Bombyx mori: one gene and its partners. The protein of the gene in region 1 interacts with the protein of each later gene in a pairwise test. Links are inferred from orthologs where the notes say so. Each region holds a gene or a part of one and is shown on either strand. Other genes may lie near its edges. The genes, in order: small glutamine-rich tetratricopeptide repeat-containing protein alpha, metaxin-1 and translocon-associated protein subunit delta.

Region 1 (8,444 bases):
AAAATTGATGAGAGTGAAATTTTACGATGTGCGCGCACCGTGACACAAAATTAACAGAAATGAAGTTGCCCACTAAATCGCTCATTACAATACGACCGACGTAACTTGGCGAGTCTGAATATAGCCGCAGGTGAACTTTCCGAACCGTACCGAGAATTGCCGAATTTATACGATGTCAAGTAAAGGGATGTCCAATATGCGTGTTTGAGGATGTTGTTTAATCGATTTTTTTTTTAAATTGATTAAAATTTAATTTAAAAGAAAAGAAATAAATTTAATTAAAATAAAGTATAACTTCTTACGCGCGTACATAAGTACACGCACCCTTTTTTATATACAAGCTTCTACACAGAGGCTAGGGACGGGGCTCCGGTCAGCAGTGTGGTGTACGTTAGCCAATATCGGTTTCCAGAATTTCAACTATTACGTTTCTGTATGCTACCGGTGAATTTCACTAAAACAGTTTCAGTTGTTTGGGCGTGACAATGTAACAGACAGACAGAGCTACTTTCATACTATTCATATTTGTCATAGAATTTCTAACATTTAACAGCATGAAAGGAAGTTTCAAAGATATGTAAATAATGTTTACTTTTCTGCAACATTCATGAAATAAAACCTATGCTCTGCTCCAAACCAACTCTTGTCTACTCGCATAGACAGCCGCAGAGCCTTTCAGTCGTGGCGGAGATGCACAAACAACAAACGTACCAACAAAAAAAATTATTGAAAATTGCTTTTATACTATGTTCTAAAAAATCCTTTGCGGAAAAAATACGAATGCTTTTTTTCGTTCTTAACCGAGTGACTAAACAGCGCAGCGCTGTAGGCCACTGGCCCCAGGCAATGTCGCACGACAGGTGAGGGCATGAGGACAGACGGCAACTTGCAGTGGTGCACTCGTGCGTGGTGCTGCGCGCCGTGCAGGCGCAGCCGCTGGGCGCCGCCGCCGTGCGCGCCGAGCTGCTGCACCTCCTGCGCCAGGACTGCGGCCCCGACCTGCACCTACCCGACCATGTGCTCGAGGACATCACAGGTACCGCGCGACGTCCGCCCATACAAGTCTCAATTTTTAATATATGTATTCATTTCTTAAAAGGTCCGTCATCTCAGCGAAATAAGAATATTAGTCATACAGCTGGTTATAAAAATGTTTATTTAACAAACCTAACATAAAATCGATGATTCGGGGTCAGGGGGGTGTACGCCGAGGTGTCTGCTGGTCGGCCGCTGCCTCGTGTCACGTGTCATTCTGATGTTAATGAAACCGAGCAGGCGGGGCAGGTGATGCGGACGATTATTTTTTTTGTTGCTTAAATGTGTGGACGAGCTCACAGCCCACCTGGTGTTAAGTGGTTACTGAAGCCCATAGACACCTACAACGTAAATGCGCCACACACCTTGAGATATAGTTCTAAGGTCTCAGTATAGTCACAACGGCTGCCCCACCCTTCAAACCGAAACGCATTACTGCTTCACGGCAGAAATAGGCGGGGCGGTGGTACCTACCCGTGCGGACTCACAAGAGGTCCTACCTCCAGTAATTACGCAAATTATAATTTTGCGGGTTTGATTTTTATTGCACGATGTTATTCCTTCACCGTGGAAGTCAATCGTGAACATTTGCTGAGTGCGTATTTCATTAGAAAAATTGGTACCCGCCAGTGGGATTCGAACACCGGTGCATCGCTCGATACGAATGCACCGGACGTCTTATCCTTTAGGCCATGACGACTTCAAAACGATGCCAGAGTTTGCTTCGTTTCGCAGTGAAGACGTGCTTCGTGAGCCCGCGGGCGCGCGCGCTGCGCTGGCAGTCGGACAGCCCGCCGGAGCCGGCGCGCAGCGTGCGCTACCCGCTGGCGCGGCTCGGCGCCGTGTGCGTGTCGGGGCGCGCGCGGGAGCTGGCCGCCGAGCCGCTGTTCCGGCGCGACAACGAGCTGGCCTCTCTCCCCGACATCGTGCTGCAGTGCATCATGCAGGTCAGCGCGCCACCACTGCGCTCAGAAGAGTGTTCCAACACCCTCTATGAGCTACATCAGCCCGATGACGGATCACGTTACATCTCATACGCATAATTAACTGTAGGCCCGTATCTGCGATCAAAAAAATGCTTAATTTCGTGAAAGTTAATGGTAAGATGGGAAAACTTCCCTGACGTTGCCACTGTCCTTGGACGGTGGTGTAACCGCTGTCGCGTGTGCCGCACAGTGTCCGATCGACGTGCGGCGCGCGCTGGCGGCCAACGTGCTGCTGACGGGCGGCGCGGCGTCGCTGCCAGGGCTGCGCGCTCGCCTGTCCCAGGAGTTGGCGCACCTGTGCACGCTGCCGCCGTACAGCTCGCGGCTGCGGCTGGGCGAGTTCAAGTTCCACCGAGCGCCGGCGCACGACATGAGCTGCGCGTGGCTGGGCGGCGCGCTGTGCGGCGCGGGCGAGGCGGGGGGCGGCGCGGGGGGCGGGCGGCTGCTGTCGCGCGACGTGTACTGTCGCGAGCGGCGCCTGCGGGACTGGGTCAACCTGCTGGACAACACGCCGCCGCACCACCCGCAGCGGGACCACCTCGACCTCACTCTGTAGAGACCGAGCGCGCCGCATTTATTTATTTTAATCGTAACATCAAATCGTTATATTGCGCAACCCGGGTCGTGTCAAATAAATACTTTACTAATAAAACATTTAAAAATATCCCGTATTTTTTCTTGCGACACTGACCTATATTTATTCTGCTATATGAAAAATTATATAGATCGAAATGGAATGAATTTGATTTATTTAAGATAGAAATAAATTGGAATAAAATTAAATGAAACATTGTGAAATAAAACGAAAAAGTCTTAGTAAAATGGTCTAAGTATATTCTTAAAATATGACTTAACTGTTTGGAGAATCTCGCGAAATAACATTCAGCGACTTTGTTGCATTTTCCTACACTTGTGCACTTGCTACTCACAGTTAATAAATGGTAAACACCTTTTTCAAACGAGGCTTCTGGAGAGTATTAAACGGTAGGCAGCGGCTTGGCTCTGCCCCTGGCATTGCTGACGTCTATGAGCGACGGTATCCACTCACCATCAGATGGGTCGTATGCTCGCTCGTCTGCCTATACGGCAATTAAAAAAATAACACTTAATAATATGCCACTATTATTATATACTGAAGAAGCAGTAAAAAAACACGTTCCCGCCAAAAGTCTTCAATCAACTTCTTCGTTGACTTAATAACTGTTACAGTATTATTATGTTAAATGTAATATTACAATGGAATTACAATAGAAATGGAAACATCGACTAATTAAAAAACTGTATTCATTTTAAAAAAAAAGGGTGCTTGTACTTATGTACGCGCGTAAGAAGTTATACTTTATATTTATTAAATTTATTTCTTTTCTTTTAATTTAAATTTTAATCAATTTGAAAAAAAATCGATTAAACAACATCCTCAAACACGCATATTGGACATCCCTTTTCTTGACATCGTATAAATTCGGCAATTCTCGGTACGGTTCGGAAAGTTCACCTGCGGCTATATTCAGACTCGCCAAGTTACGTCGGTCGTATTGTAATGAGCGATTTAGTAGGCAAGTTCATTTCTGTTAATTTTGTGTCACGGTGGGCGCGCATCGTAAAATTTCACTCTCATAAATTTTTCATAACGCGCCTAAAGAAGTATAACTTCAATAATTAATTTTGTGATAACTTTACTCCGGACCGTTTTTTAAATTCAATGGATATTACTTTCATTTTCTCCAGAACACCACGAAAACATATCTCTATTTACACAGCCGACAACAGTTAAGTGTATAATCTAGGGCCGACAACTAGGTATATGGCTCTAATAAAGAATTTTAAAAAAATCCAGTGACATCATTCTTCCGCATCTAAATCACGTAAGTCCAGTAATTTTCGTACCAAGGCTTTGGTTTATCCCTACCTCTCTCTTTCTTTGCATATGGCCATTCACTAGCACCTTTAGAACTTTAAGATTTCATTCCATAGACAATTAAGTTCGTAGCTGCATCGGCTTCTCGCCAGACTGGGTCTTTAGATACGCTATTTACACCCAAAATGCTGTTTCGATTTCCCTTAAAACATTTGGTTTTGGTCCATTTATAAAAAACAGACCAAAACCAGGCTGTTGATGATTAAGCAGGCAACGTCCAAACTGTCAAAGTCAATTTGACAACTGTGATATTTAGTTTCATAAATGTGTGACAAGTCTAAAATCTACCTTCTGTGTAAATTGGTAATCTAAAGTCTAAACGAAGCGTAGAAGCTCAGTATTTTGCGCAGTTAAAAGCAATTCTTAAAAATAGAAATGTCAAACGAAATCAAAATAGTTGCAGTGAGTATCGTGAACTTTCTAAAACAGCAATTGGACGGCGATTCTTTGAGCCCTGATTCTAGAGAGAGTGTCGAAGTCGGCGTGCAATGCATTGAGACCGCTTTCGAGCTGACGACGGAAGATGCGGCTCGAGGCCTGGACTTACTGCAGCTTGTCCGTCAGCGACTGGGGCCGCCCGCTAACAAGGCTGAAGCCGAACGACTCAAGAACGAAGGCAACGAGCTCATGAAAGCTGAGCGTTACAACGAAGCGCTTGAAAAGTACACGCGCGCCATAGAGATCGACCCAAGAAACGCAGTCTACTACTGCAATCGCGCGGCTGCGCATTTCAGGCTGTGCGACCCCGAGGCAGCGGTGAGCGACTGTACCACAGCACTCGCCCTACAGCCTGACTATAGCAAGGCGTACGGACGCCTTGGGCTCGCGCTCACCGCCCTCGAGAGACACTGCGAGGCGCGCGCTGCCTACGCCCGCGCCGCTCAACTCGACCCTGAGAACGAGTCCTACCGAGAAAACCTCCAACTCGCTGACCAAACCTTAGCACAGCGCCCTAACGATCTGAGTGGCTTACTCCGGAATCCTGCTTTGATCAACATGGCTACGGAGATGCTCACTAACCCTAATATGCAGAACCTCATTTCAGGGTTGATGACAACGACAGGGGGAGCTCAGGGTGTAGGAGAGGTGCCCCCAGGAGGTATTAATGCGTTGTTAGAAGTGGGACAATCATTGGCACAACAAATGCAAGCTGCTAATCCTGATTTGGTAGAGCAACTGCGACGTCAGCTTCGACCCCCAGGGTCTGGTGAAAATCAGCCACCTTCTCAGTGAGAATGATGTGTATTAGTATTGAGCCTGTGAGAGGGGACTGGGATCCTCAATTCTCATACTGGTCTGTACTTTTGTCTTCTCTCTCAATTCCAACTTCACATGATAAGAGTGAAATTCTACTTTATTTGTTAAAAATTGTTAAACGTTTCTCAAATCACACTACAACTCAGCCTAATACTGATGTAAAACATGCTGCTTCAAATAAATACTGTTCCTATATAAACATCCAGAAGAATATGATACTAAAATTATTTTGGTTCACCATACTTCACATAGAGAAACTTGTGCAAGTGTTTAATTATTAGGGAACAGTGTAATAAATTTTTGTTCCCGAGCTATCCTTAGCTTATGTTTGACTAATTGGTAATTTTAATAAATATATATTTAAATATAAAGGGAATTTTAATTTCGAGAACATTATAGTCAGTGAACATTAACAAAATAATATTTTTTATTATTTGGGCAATAAGTAAAAAAAAACATTAATCTTGATCGGGTTTGAAAATAGAATTCAAATTCAATATTTAATCATTTTGTACACTATTTTACCAGTTTATTTTTATTACATTATATTTGCAGATGAAATCAAAGCCTATTTGGTGTTGAGTGGTCCAGAACCCAAAGACAACACCAAGTTAATGCTACTGCTCATTTTAAGACAGGTGGAAATCTCTATTGTATTAATTTTTTTATGTGACTAGAATTCTTCAGCTCAGAACGAACTAATGGTGAGAGAAGAAACGGGAAGGATTTACTGACAGTATGGTCCACAGATCACCTTTGCAGTGAGATCTGTACATAGGGTTAAGGAATACGTAAGAATTACGATTAGCTAACAGATAGTACTATGTGGAAATGAGACGTTCGCCTCAGGAAATGTTACTTCAGTTAGTTAGCTTCATTTGAAAAAAAGGTTAGTGAACTGAAGTTTTTTTTTCGGTCAGCGTGTCGAACCTCCTACGAGGTATCCGCGACTAAGGGGCACGCGGGATATGTGGGACTTGACGGTCTGGCAGCAGACCGCGAGCCCAAGGATATTTTTAGGACCCTACCGCACCAAACGACTGCACTCACACCCGATGTCCGATCTCCGCCCGGGGTCAGAACCCGGACATAGTAGGGAGGTTCCCGCGGTCAACACTACAACCAGACACGCACACCAGGCACACCGAGGACGCCGCGCCGGTCTCCGCGGAGAGTAGATACTAGAGCTGCGTCAACTTAGACACCCTTTTTATAAGTCATACTTCGCCGACGCTATATAAATAAAAATCGCAACTTTCGTCGTTCCATCTATTATTATTATTTAAGTTTCCACATTAACTCCTCCCGTTACATTATTATTATTTAAGTTTCCACATTAACTCCTCCCGTTACGGGTGCCGGTTCCCCAATATCAAACAACTTTGACAAGAACTCTGGCCAGGTGTTAAACCTCGTCCTCGGGGTCTTTTAGCTAAGCGTATTAACCACTATACCAACCAATCTCGATTTTTTCTTATGGCGCTGAGACTTGATCTCTGAAATCTGTAGAGCGTAAACGGATTGTCACCTTTGAGATGTGGTGCTGGAGAAAGATTCTCCGTATTCCGTAGTCAGCATTTTGGACCAACGTATTAATTTTGCAAGAACTCGAAATCTCCTCGCGGCTGTCATCCGAGTGGCTTTGCAGAGTCCGACCAGTCCGATCAGATCCGTACCGTTCTTGATTCCACATTTCACAACGCTCCACACCGCCAGAGACAAGAATAGGTGGAGAAAGATCGTGCGTGCGAAGGTCATACAAGAGTGGTGGCTACCCTCAGCAGTGAAGAATACGACGCAAGGAGGAGGATCAACCAAGCAATCGACTCACTCAGTCATTCAGACGATCAGTTAAAATTTCCGGTTTGAAAGATAGGACTGTCACTTGATAAGTTCACTTCGACTATCTTAACATTAAAAATTATAATTACTTTCAGGGGATCATTTCCTTGTAGGGTTGACACTGCTAAAGGTTCAGTTAGGTACATATCATACAGGTAGATATCAGTATTAAACCTGTGAATTGAATATATAATTTAATTCTAGAAGACGAAAAAAACTCTTCAATGTGCTTTCTTATCTATTTATTACATGCTATGTATAATTTATTTTCATTATTAATTTACATATCATTATGTACACATAGTAGCAAAATGTAAAAACAACTCAAAGTAAAGCTCGTCTCGCGCCAAACGGATGCTGAGAATTGCTTACAGGCTGCAACACTAAGCTCATCTCGGCGGCTTTATATGAGAACGAGAATACAAAACAACTTTTACGTTATTCTCATAATAAGATATATTATTTACATATTATTATGTAGTGCAGTAGCGGGGCGCCTGTGCGACATGACAGCGCCGTTACAATTTGCTTTTTTATCATGTATAATATAAATTCTAAAACATTATGATATAAGGAATATGAAGACTAATACACCGCTTTATCTGTGCAGGAACAACATGTCGAGGGGTGAGAGGCTGTTTGTTTTAAGCGACATTATTGCAACTCTACAGGAGAGCCATTTAAAGTTTAAAATTTGGAAAAAATATCACATAACGAAAAAAATCTTTTTCAGTTATTTGAATGAAGTAAACTTAATTAAAATTCAATTAAAAACATCGAACTGTTGATGGTGATACCAAATAAAACGGACCTTTAATTACAAAGATAAATATCGCTTAAACCAGAGCGTTTCACCCCTCGATATAGTAGCTTCACGGAAGGATTACCTTTACCGTTTTTAATGAACTTTTATGTAATTTGAAGGTTCACTGAAGTGTTTTGTAAAGAAAATAATCATAAGTGAAAGCGTCCGTCTGCAGGCGCGTCACACCCCGCCCGCGCGCGGACGACGCATACATATTGTTTTGAAAACCAATCATTCTGCGCACCAATTAGACCTACCTCTACAAAAGTTAAGTAGATAAAGCTAAAACATTGGATGCAGCTACATATGACATTTAAATCTTTTATTATAAATTATTATAATAAAAATTATATCTAAATAAATATATTTTATTTTCGATATATGTAACGATAAAAATATAAAAAAAATTGGTTTCATAAATTGAATACTTCAGAACAATAACAAAGTGGTCGCGCGGCGTCGGAAGCCAAATAAAACAAGCAACAACAGTGCAGTAAACAAATATATCTCTATTACAAAGTTCAATAAATTACAAATAGACTAAATGTGCTGGTCGAGGGCCCGCGGACCGCAGCGCGTTCAGTTCCGTTTGGAGGGCGGC
Region 2 (8,766 bases), on another chromosome or scaffold:
CTCTGATTGTAAAGTGTTCGCTAGGATACTTGTTTTAGCCTGTTTCACTGTCTCCTCTGCCTGTTTTATTATTTTTTCGGCTTTCTGTTTTAATTCGTCTTGTATAATCAACATTGTGATTAGTCTACGTATTACGAATGTCAGGAAAATTGCAAAGCCTATAATATAGAAGTTTCTTTGGGCTCGAAATAGCTTGACGTGAGTTTTCATTTCGGTAGCTAAATGAGTGTGGCTCACGTCCGTAACATTTGAATATTTCCGTATCTCTCTCACTGCATCAATCAAAAACAACGCCAACACACCGATGAACACATAGAAATATACAGCTACGTTTTCTCGAAACATTGAAAACAGACGTGATTTGAAAAATTGATTCCATCTTCTAGGACTGAATATAGGTAATATCATCAGCATCACTAAAGCAATTTCGAAATATAGATACCCAGCAATGAAGGTCCACTGTATGGACATATTTAGTTATTAGTTTTTGGAGATTTCTTAAATTATTATTTGTTCAGTTAAACTGACCACAATAGCACCGCAGTATGATTATTATAATAACTATGATTAACGATTAACAAACACTGTTGCAGTAATATTATGTGTATGGTTGCGGGTAAATAGAGTAATCAAATCGGTAAATTACGCTTACTAAACAGATTGTGATAAAAAAAAACACTGAAGTAGGTATGAAACCTAAAACCTTACAACTTACAAGTACCGGTAAAATGGGGCGATTAGGGACAAATTCCAACTTTATGACCAATTTTAAGGTAGTTGTTGATGTATATAATGCTATATCAGGATCGAAATGATTGAGTCTTGAGGGCATCTTTGTTGTCCAATTTAAAACTATGCAATTAGCATTCCAGTTTAAGCAAAAAAAGCAAAAATAGGTGTAATCCCTATTTACCCGAAAATTGCGGTTAATTGGGACGAAATGAGAAATTTGCTAGGGCTGCCACTACTTGGTTTTAATTTATTTATTTATTTAATTGCACCAACAAAGTGATCATCAACTTGATTACATTTATTTACTAATGATTAATTTATATTTACTTGGGAAATGATCCGCGACAGATTTGTTCTGTAAGTTGTGATACAATTAAAAAAAACATCTAAATTCATCACTTAAAATTAGTTCAGCGTAATCGGACAACTCCGAATGAACATTGACGGAGACCATGCTACCGTGGACATTATTGTAGTCCCAAAGGAGAGTAAGCTTTCTTATAAACGGTTTATATTTCTTCGTTCTTGGTAAGTACTTAGGGGCTGATATTTTTATCTGGGTTAAGAGATTAGGTGTGTCGGTTATTCCATGGATTAATCAGATGAATACCCCCACTCTGAACAAATATTAAATATTTTACTATGTATTACTTAGACATTTTTGTCCACCTTGAGATTTCATTGTTCTTGTTAGATGTCTGTGCAAAATCGACTTACTTATATTAAATTGCTTAGCTATTTCAACTAAAGACTTATTCCCAATTTCAAAGGCTTCTATTGCTGTTTTCAATATTAAGGGAACATATCTCTTATGAGGCTTTGCACTCTTTGATACGTACACGCGAGGCATTATCTAAAAATAGAAAACAATACGTAACTGATAATATAAATATTTACCAAACAATAAAATAACACATTGATAATTTTGAATAAAAGGTCTAGACAAAAACATCATGAATAAACCAGATTTTTACCAACAAATTTAAAAAATATTGTTATAACTATATAGACAACCCTACAAACCTGTACCTATTTATACTTAGGTCGTTTCCATTTCACGTATTCTCATCCCAATTAACCCCTTTTTCGTTGTTATTTGTACCTAAGACGTCCCCAATATCCCCAAAAACAACAGATTTTTACATGTATTTTTATTTTATCAAATACATTAAAACTAATAACAACTGAGACTTACCTTTAATAATATATGATGGTTCAAACACTAAATAACGTTTATAAATCACATTCGTCTTCTATTATTATCAAATAAATAAAAGAGAGCAAAGTTTCTAACACTAAAATAATGACCACCACAGGAAGTTAATTTGAAACGCGATTTTTTATAAGTTAGCAGCTATTATCATGCATATTCAGAGTTGTTTTGTGAACTTTCAACATTCTACTATTAAACTACAAAAAATTGAAGATTTTGCAACGAATATAAAACTAATATTGAGCGTCGAAAGATTTTCCCGGTTTTTTCCCGATTCGCCTCTCAATCCCTAATCGCCCCATTTTACGGTACCTACCGTACTTACATCTACATTTTTTTTATTGTGGCTCGCTCGGTTTGTGCATTAGCCAGTGTCAAGTAATAAGATATAACTTATATTTTGTACTGCAAAATTGAAATTCGTTTTTTTTTTTCATTTAACCTATTTATTTGATCAAAATATCTACCATTGCTATCTATACATTGCTGCCATTTAATAGGAAGGTCATTTATGCCTTTATGATAGAACTCTGATGATCTAGATTCAACAAATCGTGTGAAAGCATTTTTACCAAAGAGTTACTATTCTACTTATTAACTCCATGATTTTTACCGAATTACAAATGCTGCCAAATTATAATTTGAGCGCTGAAGGCACAACGATAAAAAAATAATTGTTAATTAGATTAAATATTCGCCACATTTTATCTTCTGATTATTTTAACGATCTACTTGGGAGACTTAGGAAATAATTAAATTTTATTATTCGATAGCAATAACAATTTAAAAATCAACTTGTGAATAGTGTTTACATTTTTGTTATATTTTGTCCTATGAAAAATGAATGGATTTTATGAATTTTATTTATTGTAAATATTAATCAATTGGGATGACGTTGAATTTAATAAATAAAATAAATATAATGAGATGACCTGAGAGCTATTTTGTCAGACTTAAATAATCGCTTTATATTTCTTTTGCAATCAATTACATTACCGGCTCCCTTATATAAGTACAATAGAAACGGCGTTAACCTTTGTTACAAAAGATTTCACCCTATGAGCTAAGTTTTCTTTGCCTGTCCAATGGACGAATCAATGTCAAATGAAGTGTCAAAGGTATTTTGTTTAGGATTTGAATTGTTAGAAAATATTAATGTACAATTTTTTTTAAAACGAATATGGCTAACATTGAATTAGACATTTGGAGAGGAGAATGGGGTCTAGCATCTATCGATTTAGAATGTTTAAAAGTATTAGTAAGTTTCATAACATAACCTTGAAATGAATCAAACCGGCGTTGAATAATGGTAAAATATCTCATTATTTCATATTTTCAGACTTACATGAAATTTATCGGTGTGCCTGTTAAAGTGAGAGAGTCGAATAACCCATTTTTCACCCCCAAAGGTCGACTTCCTGTCATGAGAGATGGACGGACCGTTCTTACAAATTTTGAAGAAGTAGTAGAACATTTGAAATCTCTAGTACGTACCGAAACTGATTTATAAATTTAATACATTTCCCTTAAAAATATTTCCCTTAGCTCTCGTTACCACTAGATTTCTCCAAGTTAAGAAAAAAAAGTTGATATTTTTTATGTTCAGCATTACAACACAGATGTACATTTAAACTCCAAAGAGGCAGCGGAAGCGAGTGCATTCACACAATACCTCCGAGACAAGTTATACCCAGCTTACCAGTATGCTTGGTGGGTGGATGAAAAGAATTACAATGATGTAACTAGGCCAACATTTGCAAAATGTTTGAGAATTCCATTTAATTTTTTTTATCCATCACGGTATCAGAATGCCGCCAAAGAAATGATAGACGCATTGTATGGAGAACATACTGATCTTAGAGAAATAGAGAAAACTGTAAGTTGAGCTTGTAAATATATATTTTTTGTAGACTATTAAATTAAATCAACTTTATGTAATATGACATTCATGTCACTATTGTTACTGTTAGTCAGAATAATCAATCATGCTAAAAGGTAAATTATTTGTATATAGGTTATGTTGAAATAAATACCCTTGCTTTGATCCTTGGAGATTGTCATATTTTCCTGATCAATTTATCTTGAGTATTGTTAATTAAAAAAAAAAAATGGTTATCCAAAATGCTGCTGCTGTCAAATCAAATCAAGCTGCATAAAACACTTTCCAGATATACAGTGAAGCTGAGAAGTGCCTTAAAACATTATCAGATAGATTAGGTGAGAGTGAATACTTCTTTGGAAACCGTCCTTCATCGTTTGACGCTATTGTGTTTGCTTACTTAGCTCCTTTAGTGAAAGCACCATTTCCTAATGGGACTCTGTCAAACCATGTCAAAGGCACTGCAAATTTGGCAAGATTTGTGGCCAGGATCAATCAGAAAAATTTTAGACACGTCACAGATGGTAAGTAATGTAAATTAAATAAAGGTTATTAAAAATATGTATATCACATCGAACACTCAGTCAATGCTGCTGTACAATCTCTATTGAACATCTACTGAAGAAGTGACTTTTCTTATGATACCTGGGGTAAGCAATGAGGTAGTGCTTTTCTAGGCTGAACCACACTAATTGTGGATATGTCTACTCAACATTTATGAATAAAGAGGATTTTGAACAAGAAAATAGGTTTAATAAAAGCTGTTAGAAAGTTTTCTTTCTCATTATTTGGCATTATGTTAACAATATTTATTTATATGTGGAACTTATAAATGAGACAACGCAATTGAGACTCAAATCTTATACCATAAGGTGGACAATATATCTATCGTTACAATATATCTATATATTATTAGTATGTGTTACTCAACACATGTGTTTAAGCACACAATTCAGTTAATTAAATAATAAAACATAGTAGGGGTTTTATTATATACTAATTGTGAGAATGTGAAGAGAAGCAGAAGATTGTGAGAAAAAACAGAGACATCATTTGCATTATCAAAAATAGCAGTGCCTGGCAATAATAAAATTTTTGTATTTTTTTAATAAAATTTTCTGTTTTTATGTTGTTTCTTTCAAACTCAATAATGAGTATACAAATTACAGAATATAATAAACAGAATGCAAAGAAACAGTCCACAGGCTCGCAGTCTGATAGAGAAGCCGCAAACTTTCCCAACCAGACTCGAAATAAAATCTTAGCAGCCCTGTTTGCTGCTATTGCTATGACGGGGTATGCAGTGGCTAATGGAATGTTTCAAGTATGTAATTTTTTTGTTAATAATGAATATTTAATTTGTAACTATTAGCATTCCCATTACCAATTGTACACTTTAGAATAAGTACCCTGATTTACCAACTACAGCACATACAAACTAAAGGATAGAAGCTTGCTTATACACTTACATACAAAAAAAATGGGAAAAATATTATTAGAACTAAGTGTACTATGCCCCTTTTTGCGTCGCTACCAAGGTGCAAGGTTAAACATGCCGCTGTGCAGGATATCGTAGCTTAGTAAATATAAGAAGGTCTTGAATAAATGTTGAAATAAAAATAAATTAATTTTATTAGGTACTAAACTTTTATTGAAAGTATTTTTTTATTGATTAGATAGGTGGACGAGCTCACGGCACACCTGATGTTAAGCGGTTATCGGAGCTTATAGATATCTACAACGTAAATGCCGCTACCAATCTTGAGACATGAGCTCTAAGGTCTCTAGTTTTTATAGTACAACGGTTGCCCCACCCTTCAGACCGAAACGCATTACTGCTTTACAGCAGAAATGAGCAAGGTGGTCGTACCTACCCGTGTGGACTCACAAATGTCCTTGCACCAATTATACTGTTTTACATAATGAAGAATAATTTAACAATCCATATTCTGTTTAGGAGCTGAAAGACTTTGAGCACTCGCGAGATTACAATGAAATGTTTGAGAATGAAGAAGAGGACAACTGATAGTAACTGAAGTTTATAACTTAACCAAGCTCACAGCTGATGACATACACTGCTGTCCAAAGGTATTGTGGGTACCTAAATTTATGTAGGAAGGGATAAATTCACATTACTTAACCGTCTAGACAATGCATAAGATTGATGTTTTTGGCTTATTACATTTGGCTAAATTTAGTCTACTGAATTCAGTGAAGTGTAATAGCATTCAGTAAGCTAGCATACTAAATTCAGTAGCAAGGATGGTTTCTGACTGACTAAATCATTAAGAAGCCTAAATAGAAATGCATTTAGGAAGGTGTAATCGCATTTAGTTACTTAATGATTTCAGTCGTCCCATAGCTCTCCGTGCGTAAGGACGTTTTAGCTTGTTTTTTACTTCCGAATAAAAAGTATTTATTTCAGTTACCTTCATTTAATGTGCCAGACATTTATAAATAGCTCGACATGTTTCAGTGATAATTTTTGTCAGCAGGGTTTGGGATATTAAAGAACTAAATTTTACACCTTGATACGAATTTCCTGTTACAAGAAATCTTAATGTTAGAACCAGTCTTTCTTTTGGACTTATACTATCTCGTAGGATAGTATACTGCTTTTGAATAAACGGTGTCACAAGGTTTAATATTAGGTCAAACGATCTCGAATCCATTCTTAGATAATTTCTGTAGTCTGCAGGTTCTAAATCACTCATAATGTTCATATTTGCTAACTTCCCGTGCAGCAATAAATATTTCTTCACCCATATTCTTCCGTTTATTATTTTTATTTAATTGAGCCGACAGCGAGGGCTACACCAAGACCAAATTTTTGTTGTCTAGGCAATACTGGGGCTATCCTCTTACACACACAACACGTCCAATTTCGTCGGGTTTAAACTGGCAATTGATTCAGTAACTGAATTAAGAACAGTGTAATCAGAAACTTCTAACTTGCTTCTAAATTTGCTTCTGAATTCAGTCGACTAAATTTAGCCAAGTGTAATAAGCCTTTTAGGTTGATGAACCCTTGTCGTGTGAGTTCACTAACCTCGCGCATTCGATATTACATTGCGGGCTGTGCTTTCATGCCAGTACTACTACTTTACAATATATGTATATAAATCTCATGCATGGGCAAATCCATTTTATGCAAAATACCTTAAATATCGACCATAACAGGAGAACATTATGTGATTTCTCTTGAAGCCCTATAGATATTTTTTGTTTCATTATAAATAAAGATGCCATTAATGTTTAAAATTCACAAATTAAAATGGTAGAGCAATACATTTACATGGGAGTACTAGCTTTATAGTAAAATAATTAATGCACTCCCATTTCTTTCTAAAAATTTATGTATGGTTTTATTTTTTATTTCTCCTAATATATACCGAGTATTTTTTTCAACTACGGCTTTATTTTATTAGTACACATGGTACCTTTCGGACGGCAATGCGCGCGCATAATTTTTGTGTTACCTCGTATACACTGTACCTAATAAGGCATATAATATATAAAAACCACACAGAGTATATCCTATAGAATAGAAATATAAAACTAAATTCGAAGTCATTTTAGTCGCTTCCGTGCTGCGTATTCAGTTACCAGCGACAACGGGCCTGCTAATTTTTTTTTAAATTAATTACAGTCAATATGTGGAAGACTTTTCTCTCAGCTATTTGAAGTTATAATATACGTCAAAATACACACATAATTTTTTTTTATGTTTTTCAATTATACCCTAAACAAACAGTCAGTCACGCCGCAATGGGCGAGGTATAGTAAAATTGAATTAATGAAAAACTTTTACGGTTGAATCACGCGTTTTTTTTTCTCTCGTAATAATTACTATTAACACAACACGTACTAGAAATATGTATGCACATAAAAGACAAAGAATGTAATAGTTATGTCTATCTCTATCAATCTAAACATTCAAATGTTTCTGTTACATCCATCGTCTTCAAATAATTGAACTATAGTTTTAAAAATAAATGTTAAAAAAATATAGTTTTAAATTTCATTGGTATTCTGTTTGTAAATTTTATGTTTCATTAGTTCAATTACTTGAATTGTTTACGAAGTTATAATAAGGATATTGTGTTGGTTGGAAAGGAGAAGAAAAAAATGTTTAAATAAAAGTTTGAATTTGGTATGATTCGAAAGTCAGAGCTGCTTTAATGATAGAAGGCTGCGAATAAAAAGATAAATTTATACGCTATAATATTGTTGATGATTAAATAATGTTAGTGCTTTGGGACTTGATGGTTTAGTAATTGTCTGTAGGTCCATTGTTTCTGTTTCATAAGGTTTGATTGTTTTCAAATTGCGTGCGCTGCAGAATGTTAGCAGTTGTTATAATTTGAAAGACGAAAGACTAGATCGAAAATAATCGTAAATTATTTGAATTAACAAACGACTAGACTATAAATTCCATATTACGAGATTTACGATTTACGTTCGTCTCTGTATCTTTGTATTTTAGTGCATTTAAACATGTTTCCATGTGTATTGAGTATTAAATTTTTGCGGTCCTGTTTGATTATTCGTTATTATGATTATTTGTTCACGGCAAGCTGTGCAAGTGTATTGCGTATTGCGATGTCCATGATTTCATATTCGAGTAGGTACAGACTCGTTATGACTATGCGGATAGATGTTGGCGTCGTCGCCGCATCTATACGTTGTGTAGTCTGTGGCCGGCCGTACTTGTTGCACGCTGTAGTTTTGTTTCGTACTGTAGAATGTACTGATGTTTTAATTTATTACGTCGATTAAATAAACGGTTACGTTGAAACTGAGTTTTATTGTTTATTGTATTCTCTTTTATTAAGGACATTTCGTCATTGGCTTTTAATTTAACATACATAGAAGTCGTTATAATATTTGCTGTAGATGTATTGTTTAAAGACTGGATAAATGAAACAATACTAAATTAATA
Region 3 (8,869 bases), on another chromosome or scaffold:
TTTGCTAACACTAGCCCTGGCAAGAGCAGTGCTTCGCAGAATCTACCACCGGATCGGAATCACGAGCCACTGAGAAGATCCAGCGAGGAACTCAGTGGGTTGGGTCTATGGGCTAATTCACTCGTCGAACTCACGGACGGCGACCCGTGCTTGTGAGGCGGCTAAGCAATTAGCGGCGGCCACGATAAGAAGGTCTTTGTGTCTCGCCGCTTTGTCGAAGTAGCGTTCCGACGCTTCCTTTAGATTTTTACGTATCGGTACTAAATTTAGGTCACCGTGAAGATCTACATTCCTCACATACCACGGTGCTCCGAAGGCTATCCTGCAGAAACGGGATTGGATGACCAGTGTGCTTAGTGCGAGTTTTCTAACGTTCTCGATAACGTAAAGGTTAGCTCATATTTGTATGGAATGGTATCGTTTACCTATGTTTGCCGCTAGGGGTGCTGTTCCAACTGTATATAAAATTGGGCTAACTTTTACGCTATCGAGAACGTTAGAAAACTCGCACTAAGCACACTGGAGAGTAATTACGTACGTACGTAATGTACGGGCCGCGTGAGTGAACACTACACTTGCATAGGTCATGACGAAACGTATGCAAGTTTTATAGTGTCACCTTGTTATGAAGAGACATTGTACTTCGCTTGCAGATCATGGGGTAGAGTCGACCGAGTTAGAACGCGGCTCGGTCGCGCACTGACTCAATATGGGGCCCGAATGTCATCCCTTATCGAGTGACGCCTAAGTACTTAGCCTTCGAAGCCCTAGCTATGGGCTGGCCAAGGATTTTTATGGCGGCAATGGAGTTACGGCCCCTAGTCAGTGACGAGATACTAACAGTAGTGTCGGGATATCACACTTCACTTTAAGCTAGCACTGTTTAAAACTGCTATTTTCGTATTATTCCCACTTGCTACACTAGCGCTAATTCGGTGAGTTTTCGAACTATAATTTGCTGTTTACAGATGGATATTTTTTCAACTTGTCCCCTATTCAAGATGGTACTCCTTCCTTCTAGTTTCCCTCACACACAGCCCACTGAGTTTCTCGCCGGATCTTCTCAGTGGGTCGCGTTTCCGATCCGGTGGTAGATTCTGCGAAGCACTGCTCTTGCTAGGGTTCGTGTTAGCAACGTCATCAGGTTTGAGCCCCGTGAGCTCCCCTACTAGTTAAGGCGACGCTGATATAGCCTCTCAAGGCTATCAGCTTAGGTAGGAAAAAAAATGTAGTTTCTATAATTTTAAGGAAGAACTTCTATTAATTCTAAGAAAATGCGTAGTTTTACTGTTTAAAATGTACAATGCTTAAGACGCTTTCTCAAACAAACACAAAAAAAAATTGTTATATTATATTATTTTTTTAATATAAAATTAACAGTAATTTAACAATAATTGCTTAAGCTAATATCTTGCTCTTGTTACGAAGTGCCGTATAGGCGACCAAGATTGAGATGAATGTTGCCAGTATCTCGGAGTTCACCCATGGCCCGGAGTAGCCTGGAGAAAAAATTGAGTTATCTTATTAGTCTTTTTGTTATTGCGTTACATGAGAGGAGTTCAAAACCCGTCTAGACTCACAAACAGATCAAAATGACAATGTTACCTGTATCTTGAGATTGTGTGTGATGGAGATATCGTCTTCTCTCATTTTAAAACTGTATAATCTCAAAACATACTAATTTTACAGGAGAGTCTTTTAAAGGTTTAACATGTAATATTTTTAATATTAATCATCTTTGCAACATTTATTTTATATTTTTTACCAGTTATTATCATTATCTGTTTTTTCAAGTAAGATTATATTATGTATTAATTTTGTTAATAGTAAAACATAGTTAAACTAAAAAAAAAAAAAAACTAAAACTAAACTAAGCACTTTTGACAATATTTATGATAAAAATACTGATGATGCGAAATGTTTACGCATACATATATTATTAACTCAATTTCGAATATTTTTGGAAATTGTACACTTTTAATGCGAAAAGGCGATATGTCGATCCATGACATTTTTGTACCAGTAATAGGTAGAACAGTGGCGCTATGACTGCAGGAACCAGTGGTACTCCTTACTACTTTTAAATCAACTCAACCTCAACTCCCTTCCACGGTGTCGCCCGAGCACTATGACATGACATGAGATGATAAGAAGGACATGCTCCTTCTTCAAACGAAGCTCGCGGAGAGAGGCCGCGGGTTGCCTCTACTCCTGGCACTGTTGACGTCCTTGAGCGACGGTAACCACTTACCATCACGTTAGCTCGTCTTCCCAAAACGGCAATAAAAAAAAAATTAGGTTGATTTATCATGACCGTTAAACCCACATTCAAATGTGATCAATCACATTTCATTGAAACCATTGCTTATACTGATTAAAATGCAGATTTATTTTCCAGTGAATCAATCGGGATTTTACATCTTTTTTTTTTCATTTTATGCCTTACATAGGTAAACAAGCTTGTGGCGTGTCCAGTGGTTACGGAAGCCTTTAGACATTAAATATGTGAAGAGATGAGATCCAAGTCTCAAATATATCTTTAATGTAACTCAAATTGGAGCTGGATTACTGCTTCGCGGCAGAAATAGGCAGGGTGGTGGTACCTACCCGGGTGGGCTCAAAGGACGCCCTACCAGCAGTAAATAAAATAAATAATAGTTTAAAAAAACTATCAAAATACGCTTTTATAGAAAATCCAATTCAAAAATAGAAAATAAATTTCAATAAATTTGAATTAAAAATAGTGTACGAAAAAAATATTTTATTGTAAAAAAGCGTGGGGTGCCTTTGCACGATATTAACAAAATAACCCTTCTACTCATATTTCTTCATTAAATATTTATAACTACTGATACCATGCACCCCACGCTTTTTTTACAATAAAATCATTTTTTCTAACACTATTTTAAATTCAAATTTATTAAAATTTATTTTCTATTTTTTAGTTGGATTTTCTATAAAAGCGTACATATTTTGTTAGTTTTTTTAAACTACTAATTATTTTTCATTTTTTAGTTGAATTCCAATTTTTCATTTTTTTTTTAAATATTGAATTGTCATCGGTCCTTAATAAGCATGCCAAATTTCGAGTTAATCCGACGTTTTGAGGGGGGTCAAAATCATGTTCAAAGATTCTTTTTTTTTTATTGCTTAGATGGGTGTACGAGCTCACAGCCCACCTGGTGTTAAGTGGTTACTGGAGCCCATAGACATCCACAACGTAAATGCGCCACCCTTGAGATATAAATTCTAAAATCTCAGCATAGTTACAATAGCTGCCCTATCCTTCAGACCGAAGCGCATTACTACTTCACGGCAGAAATAGGCGGGGTGGTGGTACCTACCCGCGCGGACTCACAAGAGGTCCTACCACCAGTAATACTAACATACATACGTCTGAAGCTAATCAAAGCGTATTAAAAATAGCTTACTGCCAGGATGACTAAGTTGTATGGCGAGTAGTGGAGCAACAGAGGCGGCAGGATCGGCACGTCGAGCACGACGCAGCGAAGCCCAGCCTTCTTCATCTAGAATGTTTATCTGGTGCACTCCGGAGCGAGCCTTCGCTGGTTCTTCGGTCCAGGAAATCTATGAAAGGGATTTAAATACTTAACACCATTGCTAAATTAGACTCAAATAGTATTTGAATATGCAGATGGAAGAGCTGACAGCAAGGAAAGCAAATTACGTTCATCTTGAAATATAAATGTAGAGCTTTCTCTAGAGACAGCCTCTCTTGCCAGATACCATCTGGCTTTGGAATGAACTCCCCTCCACTGTGTTTTCCAGGCGCTATGACATGTCCTTCTTCAAATGAGGCTTGCGGAGAGTACTTAATACTTAATGGTAGGCAGCGGCATGGCTCTACCCCCGGCATTGCTAACGTCCATGAGCGACGGTGACCACTTACCATCAGGTGGGCCGTATGCTCGTCTGCCTACAAAGGCAATAAAAAAAAGACAGGTGGCAAGGCCACCTAAGTTGCAGTCGAGTTTTATACTCTGATCTGCTGTGTCGACCAATTGCCACACGTACCAGAGCCGTGATAAATAATACCAATTGCTTATGGTCTGATCAGCTGTGTCGACCAATTAGCATGCGTGGCTCGAACCATTATAAATAATGCCGAATGTTTATGATTGAAATGGCTTGAAAGTTTAAAAATAATTTGTAAAATGTACATGACTTTTAAAAATTACTACCATCACATAATATATCTTTTATAGAAAAAAAATGAAGTTTGTTTTTGGCTTTCTAATTGATTCTTATAATTTTGACGAAACTTATTATATAGTAGTATATTGCAGGTAGTTTTTATAGCACTCCATGGAAATCTTTCCTGTCATTGTACTGTCAAAGTATAATACATGTGAACATTTTATATTTCAATAATAATACTAATTAAAAATTTATATTGGAACAAGATCAGGTCTCACAAATGGTTCGAGGTGGAAATTGTATTATCTGTTGTGGTTTAAAAAACTTAGCATATATAGAATGCAGGAAAGTTCTTTTTTTAAAGCTAAATTGAAGATTTAGGGATTTTAGTTCAATTAGAATTTTGTTCAATCTCTGATTATGGGAACATTGTTGTTTTGTCAGATTTAAAAGGGTTGATTGGTTGAGACCATTAAGTGTTACTGTAGTGTCTAGGATAGTTATTATATCTTCAAAAGCTAAATAAAGCAATATAAGACCCTTATATAACATAGACATCGAATATCATTATAAGAAATGAAAAGGTGTCCTTTTTAAACTTTTAAATGCGGCTCGGTCTCAGGTGGACCTAGGAAATATGATTAACTTACCTGATATTTGTTTTCACCGATTCTGGCGGCCGTTAGTGATTTTCCATCGACTTCAGCGTACAAACCGTAGTTCTCGGGCAGAGTATTGTCACATTTAAGCGTAAATTCGGTTATATAGGCTATTTGTGTGACTACCGTGGCATCTAAACTAGTGAAATATGAAGCTTCAACTTTAGGGTTCTGACAGGATTCGGCGCAAATACTGCCGATAAGAGCGATTGTGATAATATAAATAAAACTTTTTGTGACCATTTTGTTATTTGTGACCTTAAAGGTAAATCTAATTTTAAAAATTTGAGACTACAATTCTCACTCCTTTACAGCCGTCCACGTATGTTGTGTTCGAAAACGTCTCTTCAATGTCTTCATAAACATCAAGCAATCAAATATTTCACATCAATTTTTGAATTTCTAAATTTTATTTTACTTCATAAATATTTTGTTTTTGTAATCTTCCCAATCACAGTATTGATTTTAAACTATTTCATGTACGTAAAAGCATAACTGATGTTTTAAAGTAATTTATTCACACTATCTAAATTTTAGAAAGTGTTAAAAGTTGTCTTTAGAACGCAACTCCGAAACGTCAGCGGTTACGTGTGGCCAATTTACATTTAAAGATCGCGATCAGTATAATATATTTTAATAACAATGCATTCAAATTTAAAAGTATTTGTGAATTTTGAAAAACCATAAAATAATTCTTAAATCTTTCAGAATTCTAACGTATTTGTAAATTTTTTAATAATATTAATTTGTCATGTGTAATTAACTTTTTTTCAGTATAGTAATCGTCTTCTTGCGATACCATTGTTGCCTGTGTTGAAGTTTAAAAATATTTAAAATAAAAAATCTATACTATTATAAAGCTGAAGAGTTTGTTTGTTTGGTTGAACGCACTAATCTCAGGAACTACTGGTCCGATTTGATTTTTTCAGTCTTAGATAGCTCATTTATTGAGGAAGACTATAGGCTGGCTATATAACATCACGCTAAGACCAATACGAGTGAAGTACTAATAATGTTTCAAGGTCGTTTTTTTGCCTTTTGAGAGCTTCCACTGCGCGCGCTGCGGATACGGTTAAAATTTCGCTTAAATAATATATGACAGAATAATGTCCCTTTAAAAGTTCTATGCCTATATTTTAAGATAGGCTCACTAGAACCTTTTTTATGCTAACCAAATTTGTTCTAAAAAAAAGCATTATTTGTGAAGGTGTTTTCATAAAAATCATATTAGTCCTTATCCAAATAAATATGTATTACAGATATTTAACTTTAAAGAACTTTTCCCTGTCTATCATTTGATTTTAATGAGTATCTTAGAAGATATCGCAACCATAAAATAACATCTCAGCAAAATAATGATCAAGCGCGTAATAATGATATAGCATATAATGATAAGAAGAATATTGTTACGCCGGTAAGAGTAACGCCATGTATTGCCGAATAGTCGAACGAATATCGAAGGATCTAGTAGCGCCCAGAACGCTCGAGAAGTGCAACGCCATCTATTGGCAGATAGCGGAATCTACTACTAGATATTTGTAGAATATTCTCGATAATTCTAGGGATGTCATATCGGCTATAAAAGCGTTGTAGAGATGGCACGCAGTCAGTCAGTAATCGGAACTATTTAGAAGCGAAACAGCGAACGGATCACCTGAAGCGAAGCGGAATAAGCGAATTGAGAGTTTTTGGTGAAATACTATGTATCCCATTGTACTTTGGTGAAATATTATTTATCCCGAACCCCAGCGCGTAACAATAACAAGAAACACACAAATCACTTCAAGATAGGCTTTGAAAATTGTAGATTTTTCTCGATATTCCCAGGATCCCATCATCAATCAGATCCTGATGATTACAGGACCATTTGAGATTGGCCTTAGCAAGAGCAGTGCTTTCCAGAATCTATCATAGGAATGGAAATCGCGACCAACTTTTTATTTTTGAAGTGAAACTTCTTTATCGGCGTTGGAAAAAATTTACCGTCACATTTTTCGGTTACGCGTCACATTTTTCCGTTACGCGCCATCTTTTTTGTATTCATGTCTATGATAATAAAATCCTTTTGTTTAAACTTTATCTAATTTAACTTTATTTAACCAATTTCTAGAAAGTTGCATGTAGATCATTTTTCGAAAAATAAGTTTCACTTCTTACGTGTGTACACTAGTACACGCACACATTTTTTTTTATTACCTTAGCACGCAGACGAGCATACGGCCCACCTGGTGGTTAGTGGTTACCGTCGCTCATGTACGTCTGCAATGCCAGGGGCGGAGCCAAACCGCTGCTTACCGCTAAAATGATCTGAGAGGATCCGGCGAGAAACTCAGTAACCTGTATTTATGGATTATAAGTGTTCATCTTTCACGAATCCAGGCAGAGTGGTGGTACCTACGAGGGCGGCACTGAAAATTTCGAGAATTAACGAAGTGACACAACATTACTATTTAAAAATGTATTTATTGCTTTTCGAAGTATTCTCCGCGAAATTTGACACATTTTTCCATACGATGGAACCAATCATTGAAGCAACTATTCCATTCAGAAGTTGGGGTCTCCAAAATTACCGTTTTGTAGGCGTCCACAGCTTCTTCAGGTGATGAAAATCTCTGTCCACGCAATTTATTCTTTATTTTAGGGAAAGTATAGAAATCATTAGGGCTTAGGTCGGGGCTGTACGGCGGATGGTCTAATAATTCTATGTTTTCTTACTCTAAAAACTCTTTTGTTCTGTGCGCGGTGTGAGAACTCGCATTGTCGTGATGCAGGATGATGCGGCGGTTGCAGTTTGACAAAACCTCGTGACAAGACCGAGAATCTTTTTTAAAATAAATAAATGGTATTCGATTTTTAAAACCAAGGAGTTTTCAATTAAAAAGATTTTAATATGACAGAAACAATGGAAATATTCCATTCCCGATACTTTTAGTGCAGCCTAGTACCCGTGCGGACTCACAAGAGGTCCTACCACCAGTAATTATGCAAATTATAATTTTGCGAGTTCGATTTTTATTACACGATGTTATTCCTTCACTGTGGAAGTCAATAATGAAAATTTGTTCAGTACGTATTTCATTAGAAAATTGGTACCCGCCTGCGGGATTCGAACACTAGTGCATCGCTACATACGAATGCACCGGACGTCTTATCCTTTAGGCCGCGACGACTTCAGAAGGCGTGAAGGCTAATGATGAAGGCGCTTCGGCGACTACCTCAACAGTTGAGCATCTTATACAGTAGTTTGAATTAAAAAAAGATCTGCGCAGTCGCTTGGATGTTTTATTTTATTCTGCACGAGGCAGCCATATTTTTTTTAGAATAGGACTAAAATGGAAAAGATAAGGTTAGATATTCGTCAGATAAGGTTAGAAGGACTTTTTCGCGGGAACGCGAGGAGTGAAGTTGTGTGATTTGTTTTATTTTGTCCATTTAGTGTTTCTTCAGGTTTAAATGTGTAATAACGGTGGTTTATTAACTGTTTAATATCTGTGAAAGTGCACAAATGTGGCAAAATTAAATAAAGCCGCTGGACGTAACTTCTCGGGTTCCTCCAAAAAGTCCACTGAAAAAATCTCAGTAAATGACCACCATTTTACTAAGATTATATTTTATCCCATATCATCTAATCTCATTTCATTTAATTTCAACGCAGTTGATTAATATCTCAAATTAATTATCTACATTTAATTTCATTTCGTTTCACTTAATAGTATCATTTTTCATAAAAATAAGATTAAAAATTAAAATACGACTTGACTTAAAGGTCTTAGTTACCAGGTCATAAAATCCCTTATAAAAAGATAAGGTTAGAGAGGTTAAAAAAAGTTTTGCGCAGTCGTTTAGTGAGTGTTTTATTTAATTCTGCACGAGGTAGCCATATCTTTTTTAGAATACGACTAAAATGGAAAAGGTAAGGTTAAAAAGGTGCAAAAAAATAAAGAAAGACCGAAATATAATTTATCCGTAAAGGCCTATATTTATTTATTCATTTATTTATATATCTGTTGACGTGTGCCCGTGTGGAAGTACCAGGCGCTCAGAGGCGCGAG

Evidence for each region.
Region 2: the proteins of small glutamine-rich tetratricopeptide repeat-containing protein alpha (region 1) and metaxin-1 interact in a two-hybrid assay, tested with the Caenorhabditis elegans proteins (2 studies listed by BioGRID). The link is inferred for Bombyx mori from reciprocal best matches to the Caenorhabditis elegans genes sgt-1 and mtx-1.
Region 3: the proteins of small glutamine-rich tetratricopeptide repeat-containing protein alpha (region 1) and translocon-associated protein subunit delta interact in a two-hybrid assay, tested with the Caenorhabditis elegans proteins (2 studies listed by BioGRID). The link is inferred for Bombyx mori from reciprocal best matches to the Caenorhabditis elegans genes sgt-1 and trap-4.

Annotation. Positions count from the first base shown.
Region 1 is NC_085113.1:139,125-147,568, forward strand, and holds small glutamine-rich tetratricopeptide repeat-containing protein alpha, read left to right. Parts: upstream 1-3,554; 5' UTR 3,555-4,314; coding exon 4,315-5,172; 3' UTR 5,173-5,567; downstream 5,568-8,444. Other genes in the region: actin-related protein 10, read left to right, coding at 893-1,036, 1,771-1,982, 2,212-2,577.
Region 2 is NC_085127.1:1,795,133-1,803,898, forward strand, and holds metaxin-1, read left to right. Parts: upstream 1-3,020; 5' UTR 3,021-3,125; coding exon 3,126-3,203; intron 3,204-3,284; coding exon 3,285-3,431; intron 3,432-3,551; coding exon 3,552-3,821; intron 3,822-4,113; coding exon 4,114-4,348; intron 4,349-4,993; coding exon 4,994-5,148; intron 5,149-5,781; coding exon 5,782-5,850; 3' UTR 5,851-8,622; downstream 8,623-8,766. Other genes in the region: endoplasmic reticulum protein, read right to left, coding at 1-471.
Region 3 is NC_085130.1:17,558,438-17,567,306, forward strand, and holds translocon-associated protein subunit delta, read right to left. Parts: upstream 5,425-8,869; 5' UTR 5,061-5,424; coding exon 4,809-5,060; intron 3,589-4,808; coding exon 3,432-3,588; intron 1,500-3,431; coding exon 1,399-1,499; 3' UTR 1,338-1,398; downstream 1-1,337.